3 linked regions of the Sus scrofa genome follow. The protein of the gene in region 1 interacts with the protein of each later gene in a pairwise test. Links are inferred from orthologs where the notes say so. Each region holds a gene or a part of one and is shown in the gene's direction. Other genes may lie near its edges. The genes, in order: PNMA5, CCNC and VIM.

Region 1 (3,750 bases):
TTGGTGGGAGCAGGGGTCTAACTTCCGTGGCGGTGGGGCTTGGTGTGAGGGGTTGAGCTTAGGTGGGGTGGAGCTTAAGATGGAGTTTGTGCCTCAGTAGGAGTGGGACTTGGCAGTGAGTTTGAGATCCGGGTGGAACTGAGGAAAGGTAATAACCTGCCCTAGCACTGAGTACCAGTTGAGCAGTTTCTTGTATTCCAGTACCAGAATACTTGTGGGCACCTCTGTATATAGAATTGGCATAGGCAGAGCAGCAGCATGTCAGCCAGAACCATAGCAAAATACCTGTGCTTGGCCTTGGACAGATCCAGTGAAGCAGTACCCACCACCCCAGGACCAGAAACTGCCTGACTGGCCAGATCCCCAGGGCAGGCCTAGTGTTGAGTGCGGGTGAAATCCCCTCATCTGCACTGTGAATGGGTCCCTAATCAGATGGTAAATAGCTGGGAGGTGGGCCTGTGTTGCAGAGGCTTCTGTAACCCTGATGAAAAGCAGGAGGGGCGGGGTTGCCTGCCTGCCAAGGGTCTGGCAGAGTAAGGTCAAAGCCAGGGTGAGCATTGTCTGTTTCCTACGGTGTGGTACTGGAGACCCTTTTGGAGTCCCTTTTCTGTCCTTGCTTCTAGCTTCTACACAGTTTGAAACTAAGTTCTTTTTCAGTACTTGATCCTTGCTGCCCACCCCCCCCCATTCCCCTCCCTCTTCATGGGTTGGAGGCCAGTGACATCACCTGTTGCTCCTTAGCCTTTCCGCATGACACCCCCTGTGAAACCCGTAGTCCACATGCTTCATCCATGGCAACACTGCAGCTTGTCACACGTTCTCCATACCCACCAGCTTCAATGCCCTGTGCAGCGCTCCAGCCATCTTTCTCCTTTGTCAGGCATATCCTGAGAAAGGAGGGAACGCCACATCTCTGTCCTCTAAACTTTGCCCCAGCAGTAAGGGTACCAGGTGCCCTGGGCCTGCACAGCCCCGAGCCAGGGAGTGGGACAGCCTCTGGTCTTCTCCTAGTTGGAGAGCTTTGAAAGTGTTCCCAGGCATTAGGCCCCACCTCCTGAGGCTGGATTTTTCACTGCAGGCACTTCCAGCACAGACAGTAGGGTCTTCGGACTTTGAGGACGAACCCACGGCAAGCAGAGGTCAGCAGGGAAAGAGTGAGGTGGGGGGAGCTTGGCCTGCAGAGACCCCTCCACCAAATGACTGGGGGAGCCCTGTGAGGCAGAGAATGAGGTTCTGTGAGTGGAAGTGGGGGCAGAGGAGGGGCTTTTGGTGGGGATGGGAGGGTGGCCATTAATGATGCTCTCACCCCATTCACATTATAGGCTGTGGAAACCCAGGACGATTCTGCCTTCATATTTGGCCTTGACTTGCCTGAGTCCTGATCAAACTCTGTGAGCTGGTCCCTGCACCTGGTATTAGATCAGTTCATAGAAAGTGGGAGCAATGGCTGTGACACTGTTGGAGGATTGGTGCAAGGGGATGGACCTGGACCCCAGGAAGGCCCTGCTGATTGTGGGGATCCCCGTGGAGTGCAGTGAGGCTGAAATTAAAGAGACCGTGAAGGCAGGCTTACATCCCCTGTGCACCTACAGGGTGCTGGGCAGAATGTTCAGAAGGGAAGATAATGCTAAGGCAGTTTTCATTGAGTTGGCTGATACTGTCAATTATGCTATGATTCCCAGAGAGATACCAGGAAAGGGAGGTGCCTGGGAAGTGGTTGTGAAACCCCGCAGCTCAGATGATGAGTTTATGAATAGACTCAACTACTTCCTGAAAGACGAGGGCCGGAGAATGGTAGATGTGGCCAAGACCCTGGGATATAGCACTCCCACTGAGGGCATGGAGCCAGAGGCCTCGGATCAGGTCAGGTCACCAGCCTTGCAGCCTCTGAAAGAAAATGTGTGGTACCGAAAACTCAGAGTGTTTTCGGGAAGCACTTTCCCAGGCCCAGACGAAGACAGCTTTGAAGGCTGGCTGGAGCACGTCACTGAGTTGATGCAACTCTGGCAGGTGTCAGAGGTCGAGAAGAGGCGCCGTCTGCTGGAGAGCCTTCGCGGCTCTGCCCTATCTGTCGTGCGGGTGCTCCGGGCCAATGATGAATCTATGACCGTGGAGCAGTGTCTGGACGCCCTGAAGCAAATTTTTGGGACTAAAGAGGACTGCAGAACCTCACAATTTAAGTTCCTCCAGACCTTCCAGAAATCGGGAGAGAAAATCTCTAGTTTTTTGCTACGGTTAGAGCCCCTGCTGCAGAAAGCCGTGCAAAATAGCCCCTTGTCCGTGAGAAGCACAGACATGATTCGCCTGAAACACATCCTGGCTCGGTCCTGCATGAGCACCAGCCTCCGGGCCAAGTTAGAGCTCCTGGATCAGCGAGGTCGTGCTCCCACTTTCCTCGAGTTAATGCAGGTCATTCGAGATGAAGAGGAGTGGGAGGCCACCATGGGCCTGACGAAGGAGAGGCAAGTGGGGAGGGGCCGCAGGGCCTCCGGCAGGCCGGTGCTGGTGGAAGCCAGTGTCCCAATGCCTCAGGTCGTGGTGCAGACGGGGCCCTTTAACGAGAGCAGCACTCAGACCATCCAGGAAGGGATTAGCCTGTCCCTGAAGCGCAGGCGCATGTCATGCTGCTACGGTAGTGGGGAGGGAGGCCACAGCCAGGCAGCATGTCCTAGCGTGGAGAACCAAGCTCCAGCAAACAGAAGCCTCAGTTTGCAGCAGCAGAGTCGGGAAACGAGATGGGGGCTGGGGCAATGAGCCACCCCGAGCCCTAGGAAGCGTAGGCTCAGTACTCCAGGCACCCCTTCCCCTAGCAGGCAACTAAAATATTTTAATGAGATGAAGGAGCAGCCCACACCAAGAGCGGGGGACTTGAGGGGGAGAGAGTGGCAGGGCAGCCAGGCCCAGGCCGAGCCCCCTTGTCTTCTGCCAGCTCAGAGGGGCTCTACCAACCAAGCCCCATGCAGCCCAGTGAGGGCCAGTCAGCACAGGGCCTGGGAGAGGCACTGGCAATGCAAGCAGGGGGCCAGCACACTCGGCAGGTGGGGTGGCCAAGCCTCGGAGAGAGACCCCAAGGCAGAAGAGGCTGAAGAAGGTGTGGTGGGGGGCTCCGGCATGGACCCTGGCATCTGGCCACTCCTTAATGCCCAGAGGGTAGGCTCTGAGCTGATGAAGCTGATGGGCCCCCAGGCCATGTGGGGCCCAGGGGAGCCTCCCCCGGGGCCAGCCCTTCTGGAAGGAGCCAGCGCTGGTGAGGAAGAGCTGTGGGGCGGAGAAGAGATGCCCCGGAGGGGAGCCCGCAGGGTCCAGCCCGTCTTCAGGATCATCTACACCGCTCTAGGGGAGCCCCAGGAAGGCAGCACCCTGGAGCCTCTGCGCAAGTGAGGGGAGGAGACCCAGAGGCCCTGGGAGCCCAGCACCAGCCTACAGGCAGCCTCCTCCCCCTTAAGCTGGAAGGGCTGTGGGGACAAGGTCAGCAAAGTCTGTGCGGAGAAGGTCTCCGTGTCAGAGGCTCAGCTTGAGAGGCAGGGTGCAGGGTACCCTAGTGGGCACAGCTGCTTTGGTGCGAGTGGGTGTGCAAGCGCAAGGAAACTTTAGTTCCCAAGCAGGAGCAGGAGGGAGAGGGCGGGGAAAGAGGACGGGGAGGAGGAAGAGGAGGGGTGGGAGAGTGGAGGAGAAGATGCAGGAGGAGAAGGAAGAAGAGGGAGGAGGATGTAGAAAGAGGAGGAGGGACAAGGAGGGGAGGAGACGGGA
Region 2 (3,650 bases), on another chromosome or scaffold:
AAAGATGCATCTTGATACCAGAGTCTTAGAATCAGTGAAATACACTATAAAAGTGACATGTGGGAGTGGGAAGAGAGACAAGACAGACTGAGAAGGAAGAGAAGATTAGAGCAGATTTTTTTTTCAGGGCACATTTAATTTACACTTATTAGTGAGATAATTCTAACGTCAGAGTTTCAAGAAATGTGAAAAACATCTTTCAAGGTTACTTTTTGTATTTTGTACTAAGACTAAAACTTGTTCATTCTTAGAATGTTTTCTGTGACTTTGTTAGTTGATTTTCTATAGGTTGTCTGAATCTTTGCTTCTTTTAGTTTGCAATGGATTTTGGATAAACAAGATCTGTTGAAGGAACGCCAAAAGGACTTAAAGTTTCTCTCAGAAGAAGAGTATTGGAAATTACAGATATTTTTTACAAATGGTAAACTTTTTTCTTTTAAATTGGTTTAAATAGTATAGTTGGTTAACTCTGAACTAAGGTGTTTTTCTGTAGTAATTTGTGACTGTTTTAGTCCCTTTATTTTTTTTTTAACATGTGTATTCTCTTTATAACTTAAATGTATTTTTTTAAAGTGACTTATATGTCAGAGATACTCAAGACAATCTAAAAGTGTTAATCTTCCTAAACAGTTATAATGCATCATTAAACCCAGTTTAAGATTGGCTAAAATGAAGTACTTTGAGGATAAATAATTCTTTGGATTGACATCCTGTATTGGTCATTCCTATCTTACAAGTTTGCTTTGGAGAGAAGGGTATTTGGAATTAGAAGGTCTTTGCTGTGCCATGTGGTGGCTTTGTCCAGGATCTTTCTAAGCCTCAGTTCACTCTTATGCAAACCTACCTCTCTGTTGTTTTGAGGATTCATTTTGGATTTTTTATGAACTTTGTAAAACTGATGGGTGTCTGATAAGAGGGGAAATACCTATCATTTAGCCTTAACAAATTTGTAATCCTAGTACTAGACCACTGTGATCCACGTAGAGCATTATAGCATGTGTAAATTTTTCTCTTTGTTAAAAATGAATATAGTCATGATTTAACTGCATGGAAGTTATTGTTCAGTGTTAATATTATATTGATATCAGATTTTATTATTATTATTTTTCTTTTAGTTATCCAAGCATTAGGTGAACATCTTAAATTAAGACAACAAGTTATTGCCACTGCTACGGTCTATTTCAAGAGATTCTATGCCAGGTAGGGCTGTGTTATTTTGGGACTGTTATTTGTATTTAAAATATCATGTATTTGAAACTCTTATGTAATGAGGATGAAACTTATGTAAGTAAATCATGTGTTTGCTATAGAGTTGGCCTGATTTTTTTCCCATATAGATGTTTTCTGTATGAATTCTATTTTCATTTGTGTTTGGTCTATGAATATTGCTTAACTTTGTTTAATTAATTGTATTTTTAGGTATTCTCTGAAAAGTATAGATCCTGTATTAATGGCTCCTACATGTGTGTTTTTGGCATCCAAAGTAGAGGTATGAACTAATTTTCTGTTCTTCATCAAAGTACAGTCAACGGTATTGGTTAAACCCAGTTTTCACATTACCTGTGTAAAAATAATAAGATGATGATTTACATAAAATATTGAAATTTGTACAAAATCAAAGAAGTATATGCATATCTTTATTTTATATATTCAGTTAAAAAGCACTTATGTAACACTTTACTATGTGCCAAGTGCTATTCTAAGTCCTCTTACAAATATTTTAATCCTCATAACAAACTATGGGGTATATATTTGTAATATCATTTTATAAGTGAAGAAACTGAGACACAAAAAGATTAAGGAGCTGATAAGTGACAGGGTATTTTAACCCTAGGAGTCTAGCTTCTAATCCTATTCTCCTTTTTTTTGTTTTTTTGTTTTTTTTTTTGTTTGTTTGTTTTTGCCTTTTCTAGGGCCACTCCCACAGTATATGGAGATTCCCAGGCTAGGGGTCTAATTCCATAGCCTCCAGCCTATGCCAGAGCCATAGCAACAAGGGATCCGAACCACGTCTGCAACCTACACCACAGCTCAGTGCTTAAATCACTGAGCAAGGCCAGGGATTGAACCCGCAACCTCATGGTTCCTAGTCAGATTCCTTAACCACTGTGCCACGACGGGAACTCCTCCCATACTCTTAACTGCTTTGCTTTACTACCTTTAAGATATTTATTGTTTGGTTCTAAGGAGTATTTCATAATTGCCACAGCTTATCCACTATAACTTGAGAATGTTCTTCCTTCTCAAACTCCATATGTGTCCTATGTCCTGCTGTTTTTCCTTCCTGCCTCCTAATGATTGGTTGCCTAGGAGAACCAGAGTAGCTGCAGATATACTCCTTCTAGCAAGGAATAATTTGGGTTGTGAAGGTTGAGAAATTAGGTGAGAAAGAGAAGAGAGATGGGAACCTGCAGCTGAGACCAAATCTTGGATCACTTTATTTACCCTTTCAGTATTTTTTGAGAGAGCTCAGCTAAAATCCAGGTACTAATAGCACGTATTGACTGGTGTTCATAATAATTCATGTTATCTTAGGTAATATGAATCCTATGTATTATGTTTCTATTTTTAGATGATGTCTTCAGAATAGTAATTGCTTCCTTTAATATTGAATGTAATTGTAAGTGGTAATTTAAGGAGGCAGAACCAGCCCTGTTGTTTTTTAAGAAAGTGATTGTAAAAGGTCTGTATTATGGGGTGGTTTTCCCAAATATCACCATATAATTTTATGTGGCTGAAGGACAGCCAATATGGGTAACCAAGATCAAATCTTTATAAACTTTTACTTTTATAAATTAACTTGGAGTTTTATCCTAGTTATATCCTTGTAACAATATCTTTTGCTACATGACTTGCTGAGTATAACCCTATTTTATGATTTACTAAGTGAAAGCTTTTGCTTTAAGAATTTTAAGGTAAAGAATTATCCCTAGGAAAAAATGTATCCTTTCATATTCAGTTATAGCATTTTTTTTTATCTTTATGACCAAATCTATCTGTGTTTTGTCTGCTTGTGTGAAAATTGTATTGAAAGACATTAAAAAGATGTCTCAGGCATTTAATTTCCAGTTTCAGTTATTACAGTTTGAGGTTTAAATGTAAATATAAATATATACACAGGCATACACAGGTGCCGTCTCCCCCCACCACTGTGGGTTTTTGAATAAACTATATATGGTTTAGTTTCTTTTGTTGGATAAGGAACCAATTCTTGATTTTTTTTCAGCTTTAAAATAAAGAGTTTAGTAATCCTATAAAGTTAGTAAAATGAAATGAGACTGTATGTAAGATGAAACACCTCATAAATTTTAGTTATTTTTAGAGAGTTCCATTGTGGCTCAGGGGGTTATGAACCTGACTAGTGTCCATGAGGAGTTGGGTTCCATCCCTGGCCTTGCTCAGTGGGTTAAAGATCCAGCATTGCCATGAGCTGCGGTGTAGGTTGTAGATACGGCTTGGATCCCGCCTGGCTGTGGCTGTGGCATAGGCTGGCAGCTGCAGCTCCAGTTCAACCCTTAGCCTGGGAACTTCCATATGCCACAGGAATGGTCCTAAAAAGTTTAAACAAAAATAAGTTGTTTTAGTTATTTTCACAGTGATGGTATATTAAGTTCAAAAAGGAAATGGGAAGTGACATCCAAAATCTTTTT
Region 3 (3,650 bases), on another chromosome or scaffold:
TTCTCTATGCCACGGGCACAGCCAAAAAGTAAATAAATAAAAAATGAAAAGAATTTGGAAATCCAGAGGTTTTAGTTTACATACATTATGGCTTCCGCTAGGAAGAGGATTTGGTACTTAGATTTTCTGCCTAAAATTGGAGTATTTCCCATTTGCTGCCGGGGTCCCATTTGCACATGGTCTAGAAATGGTTGAGGGAATGGCTGGTTTTTTTATGCCCCTGGGGAAATAACACTGGCAGCCTTTCTCATCTGCAGAACGAGTCTCTGGAACGCCAGATGCGGGAAATGGAAGAGAACTTTGCCGTGGAAGCTGCTAACTACCAAGACACTATTGGCCGCCTGCAGGATGAGATTCAGAACATGAAGGAAGAGATGGCCCGTCACCTTCGTGAATACCAAGACCTGCTGAATGTCAAGATGGCTCTCGACATTGAGATTGCCACCTACAGGAAGCTGCTGGAAGGAGAAGAGAGCAGGTGGGGACCGGGGGTGGGTGGGAGTGAATTCCTGGCTGCCATTTGCATCAAGCTTCTCGCTTTCTATGCATTATCTCATTCAAACTTTACAACCTTTCCTCAAGGTAGCTCCTTGCCACTTTGTACAGATGAGGAGCCTTCAGTTTAGAGAGAGTGAGTTATGCCTTGGTCCTAGTCAGTTAATCCACTCTCAGAGCTGGGATTTGAACCTATGATGCTGTGAAAACCAACAGTCACTCTAGAATCCCTCCACTCTAGAATACTGCCAGCCCCTTGGAGAAAAAGGCTTGGAGTAAAATATTTAAGTGTCCTAATGAGATCAAACATGGGTTAATGCTTCTGAAGCAAATCATTCACCTGTGAATTTATGAGTCGATTTTCCTATTTGATGAAAACAAACATATACATTTGTTCCTTGTTGTCTTCCAAAAATTTTACTGTTTTTCTTTGTCTCTTTGTAGGATTTCTCTGCCTCTTCCAAATTTTTCTTCCCTGAACCTGAGGGGTAAGCATTTGGTTGTCCTATATGAAAAATTTTAGCAGCTTGTAACTGTTCTGTTTATAAAGCACTCATTTTTTAAATGATACCTGAAAAATACCCCACAAGAGAACATTTTGTAAGACAGCCATAATTTTCTTTTTTTTTTCTTTATTTTCCTTTTTTTTTTTTTTTTTTTTTTTAATGGCTGTACCTGCAGCAAATGGAAAGTATGCTAGGGGTTGAATCAGAGCTGCAGCTACAGGCCTAAGCCACAGCAAACACCAGATCTGAGCCACAGCTGCTACCTACACTGCAGCTAGCAGCAATGCTGGATCCTTAACCAACTGAGCGAGGGCAGGGAAGGAACCCGCATCCTCATGCACACTATGTCAGGTTCTTAACACACTGAGCCACAGTGGGAACTCCCAGCCACAATTTTCAAACCCCAGTGCTGTCTTACATTCTGTACTTTCAGGTAAATTGAAATCCATTTTTCTTCCTCCTGATGGAGGAGACAGTGAAGCTGTCCATCTCATTGACTATCCCGAGTGGTGTCGGTCCCCTAGGTTTTAAAATAGGTGACAGTCTTTAGAATTATCACAGGAATAGTGCTTTAAACAATCACAAACAGAAGTCCTCATTCCTTGGACCAAGTAGTTTCTGGTCTTTTTAAACATTTCGCTTTTACTCACTGGGGGCCTGTTTTCTTTATCCAGAAACCAATCTGGAATCCCTCCCTCTGGTTGACACCCATTCCAAAAGGACACTTCTGATTAAGACGGTTGAGACCAGAGATGGACAGGTGGGTATCTTTAAATCAAAACGGGAGTAACCTCAGACAGGCACTGAGAAATGTTTCAATCAGTAAGTCTGTCTCAGATACAGCCAGTGAATTTGGGAGGTTTCAGTTTCACCCATGCGTCCTAGAAGAATAGGCCTGTTCTATCCAGTATTACACACGGCCAGCTAATTCTTTGGCTTCTAGATCTGAAGGTGAGATGGTAATCTACCTACAGTTCAAAATTAGTGACTTGCTTTGGTGCGTAATTTGAAAGAGGAGTGCAGCATCCTTAAGCTACTGCCTCATCTGGCTTCATTAGACTACTTTCAGTATTAGGAATATTTTGATCGTGGCTATAAGGCCTTCCCTGGACACTCCTAGACCCTGTTAGAATATAATACAAGGACTTTCCATATGATTAAGTAATTTCTTATTACCTCTCTCTGGCAAGAAACAGTTGAAGTGTATTGTAATCTTTATAATCTTCCTTTGCACATAAAATATACTTGGTGTACATTTTAACTGGCTTTAGTTGCTTTTAAATTTTGTTGCTTATGACAATTACAGCATCCTTCTGTATAAACACAGTATTTTTTTTTTTTTTTGGCCTTGCCTGTGGCATATGGAAGTTCCCCAGCCTTGAACTGAACCCCTGCCACAGCAGCCACCGAGCTGCTGCAGTGACAACACCAGATCCTTAGCCACTAGGCCACCAGGAAACGCCAATATAGTATTTTTGTTGTTGTTGTTGTTTCCTTTTTTGCCCACCCCGTGGCATATGGAACTCCTGGGCCAGGGATCAGATCCGAGCCGCAGTTGCGACAATACCAGATCCTTAACCCACTGTGCTAGGCTGGGGATCAAACCTGTGTCCCAGCGCTTGCAAGGTGCTATCCATCCCGTTGTGCCATAGCGGGAGCTCCCAATATAATATTTTTTTTTTAAGTTTCTTTTTTGAAGTCATCACATTTATTGGATACCTATTTTGCTTGTATAGGTCTGTCTTCCCCCTTACCGTGCATGATTCTTGTCATGCAGGACCAACATAATCTTCCAACTTTCACAATAAATTATATACATTTCATAGGATTTTTCTTTGACATGCTTTCTGGGGTAACTTAATCATAGGTATGTAGCATTATGTTTGACCAGAGTCCTCTTTTGCTTATCAGGTTATCAATGAAACTTCCCAGCATCACGATGATCTGGAATAAGAACTGCATGTACTCTGTGCAGCGAAATATTACCAGCAAGAATAAAAAAGAAATCCGTATCTTCAAGAAATAGCTTTCAAGTGCCTTTCTGCAGTTTTTCAGGAGCGCAAGATAGGTTTGGAATAGGAATAAGCTCTAGTTCTTAAAAACCAACACTCGTAAAAGATTTAGGAAAAAAGTTTACAACATAATCTAGTTTACCGAAGAAGCCTTGTGCTAGAATACTTTTTAAAAAGTATTTTTGAATACCATTAAAACTGCTTTTTTCCATCAAATATCTGACCAACTTGTTTCTGCTTCAATAAATCTTTGGAAAACTCTTTTGGTGTCTTACTTATTTGATAATAGTGAAACAGTGCTCTAAATTTTAGGAGAATAGGTGTTTGGGTTAAATATTTTTTTAGTCTTCTTGGTTAAACTGCCTCGAAAGTCAGGGTTAGGTTAACTTTAAAAAATTCAACTTTATGCTTGAAGCATGATTGTTGTTCATTTGGTCATTTTAGACCTCACTTTGCAGTTAAGTTCTTTTTTAAACCTACAAATAGATGTTATACAATAAAATAACCTATAAACAAAATGATAGGTCTTTTCATAAAATGAGTCCAGCTGGGTCTGTGTTCATGTATAACTTCAGTTCTAACAAATAGACCCACTAAAACTGAAAATCTCTGACTAAAATGGAAACTGATTTTTGAT

The links.
Region 2: the proteins of PNMA5 (region 1) and CCNC interact in binary tests that used the Homo sapiens proteins (3 or more experiments, as listed by UniProt). The two-hybrid records come from large-scale screens. The link is inferred for Sus scrofa from reciprocal best matches to the Homo sapiens genes PNMA5 and CCNC.
Region 3: the proteins of PNMA5 (region 1) and VIM interact in binary tests that used the Homo sapiens proteins (3 or more experiments, as listed by UniProt). The link is inferred for Sus scrofa from reciprocal best matches to the Homo sapiens genes PNMA5 and VIM.

The regions. Positions count from the first base shown.
Region 1 is NC_010461.5:123,997,594-124,001,343, forward strand, and holds PNMA5 (paraneoplastic antigen-like protein 5), read left to right. Parts: upstream 1-1,341; 5' UTR 1,342-1,443; coding exon 1,444-2,754; 3' UTR 2,755-3,608; downstream 3,609-3,750.
Region 2 is NC_010443.5:66,489,660-66,493,309, reverse strand, and holds part of CCNC (cyclin-C), read left to right. Parts: intron 1-288; exon of another isoform or gene 289-314; coding exon 315-421; intron 422-1,115; coding exon 1,116-1,200; intron 1,201-1,419; coding exon 1,420-1,489; intron 1,490-3,650. UniProt on the Homo sapiens protein: Component of the Mediator complex, a coactivator involved in regulated gene transcription of nearly all RNA polymerase II-dependent genes.
Region 3 is NC_010452.4:43,522,899-43,526,548, forward strand, and holds the end of VIM (vimentin), read left to right. Parts: intron 1-257; coding exon 258-478; intron 479-939; coding exon 940-983; intron 984-1,675; coding exon 1,676-1,761; intron 1,762-2,912; coding exon 2,913-2,954; 3' UTR 2,955-3,274; downstream 3,275-3,650. UniProt on the Homo sapiens protein: Vimentins are class-III intermediate filaments found in various non-epithelial cells, especially mesenchymal cells. Vimentin is attached to the nucleus, endoplasmic reticulum, and mitochondria, either laterally or terminally.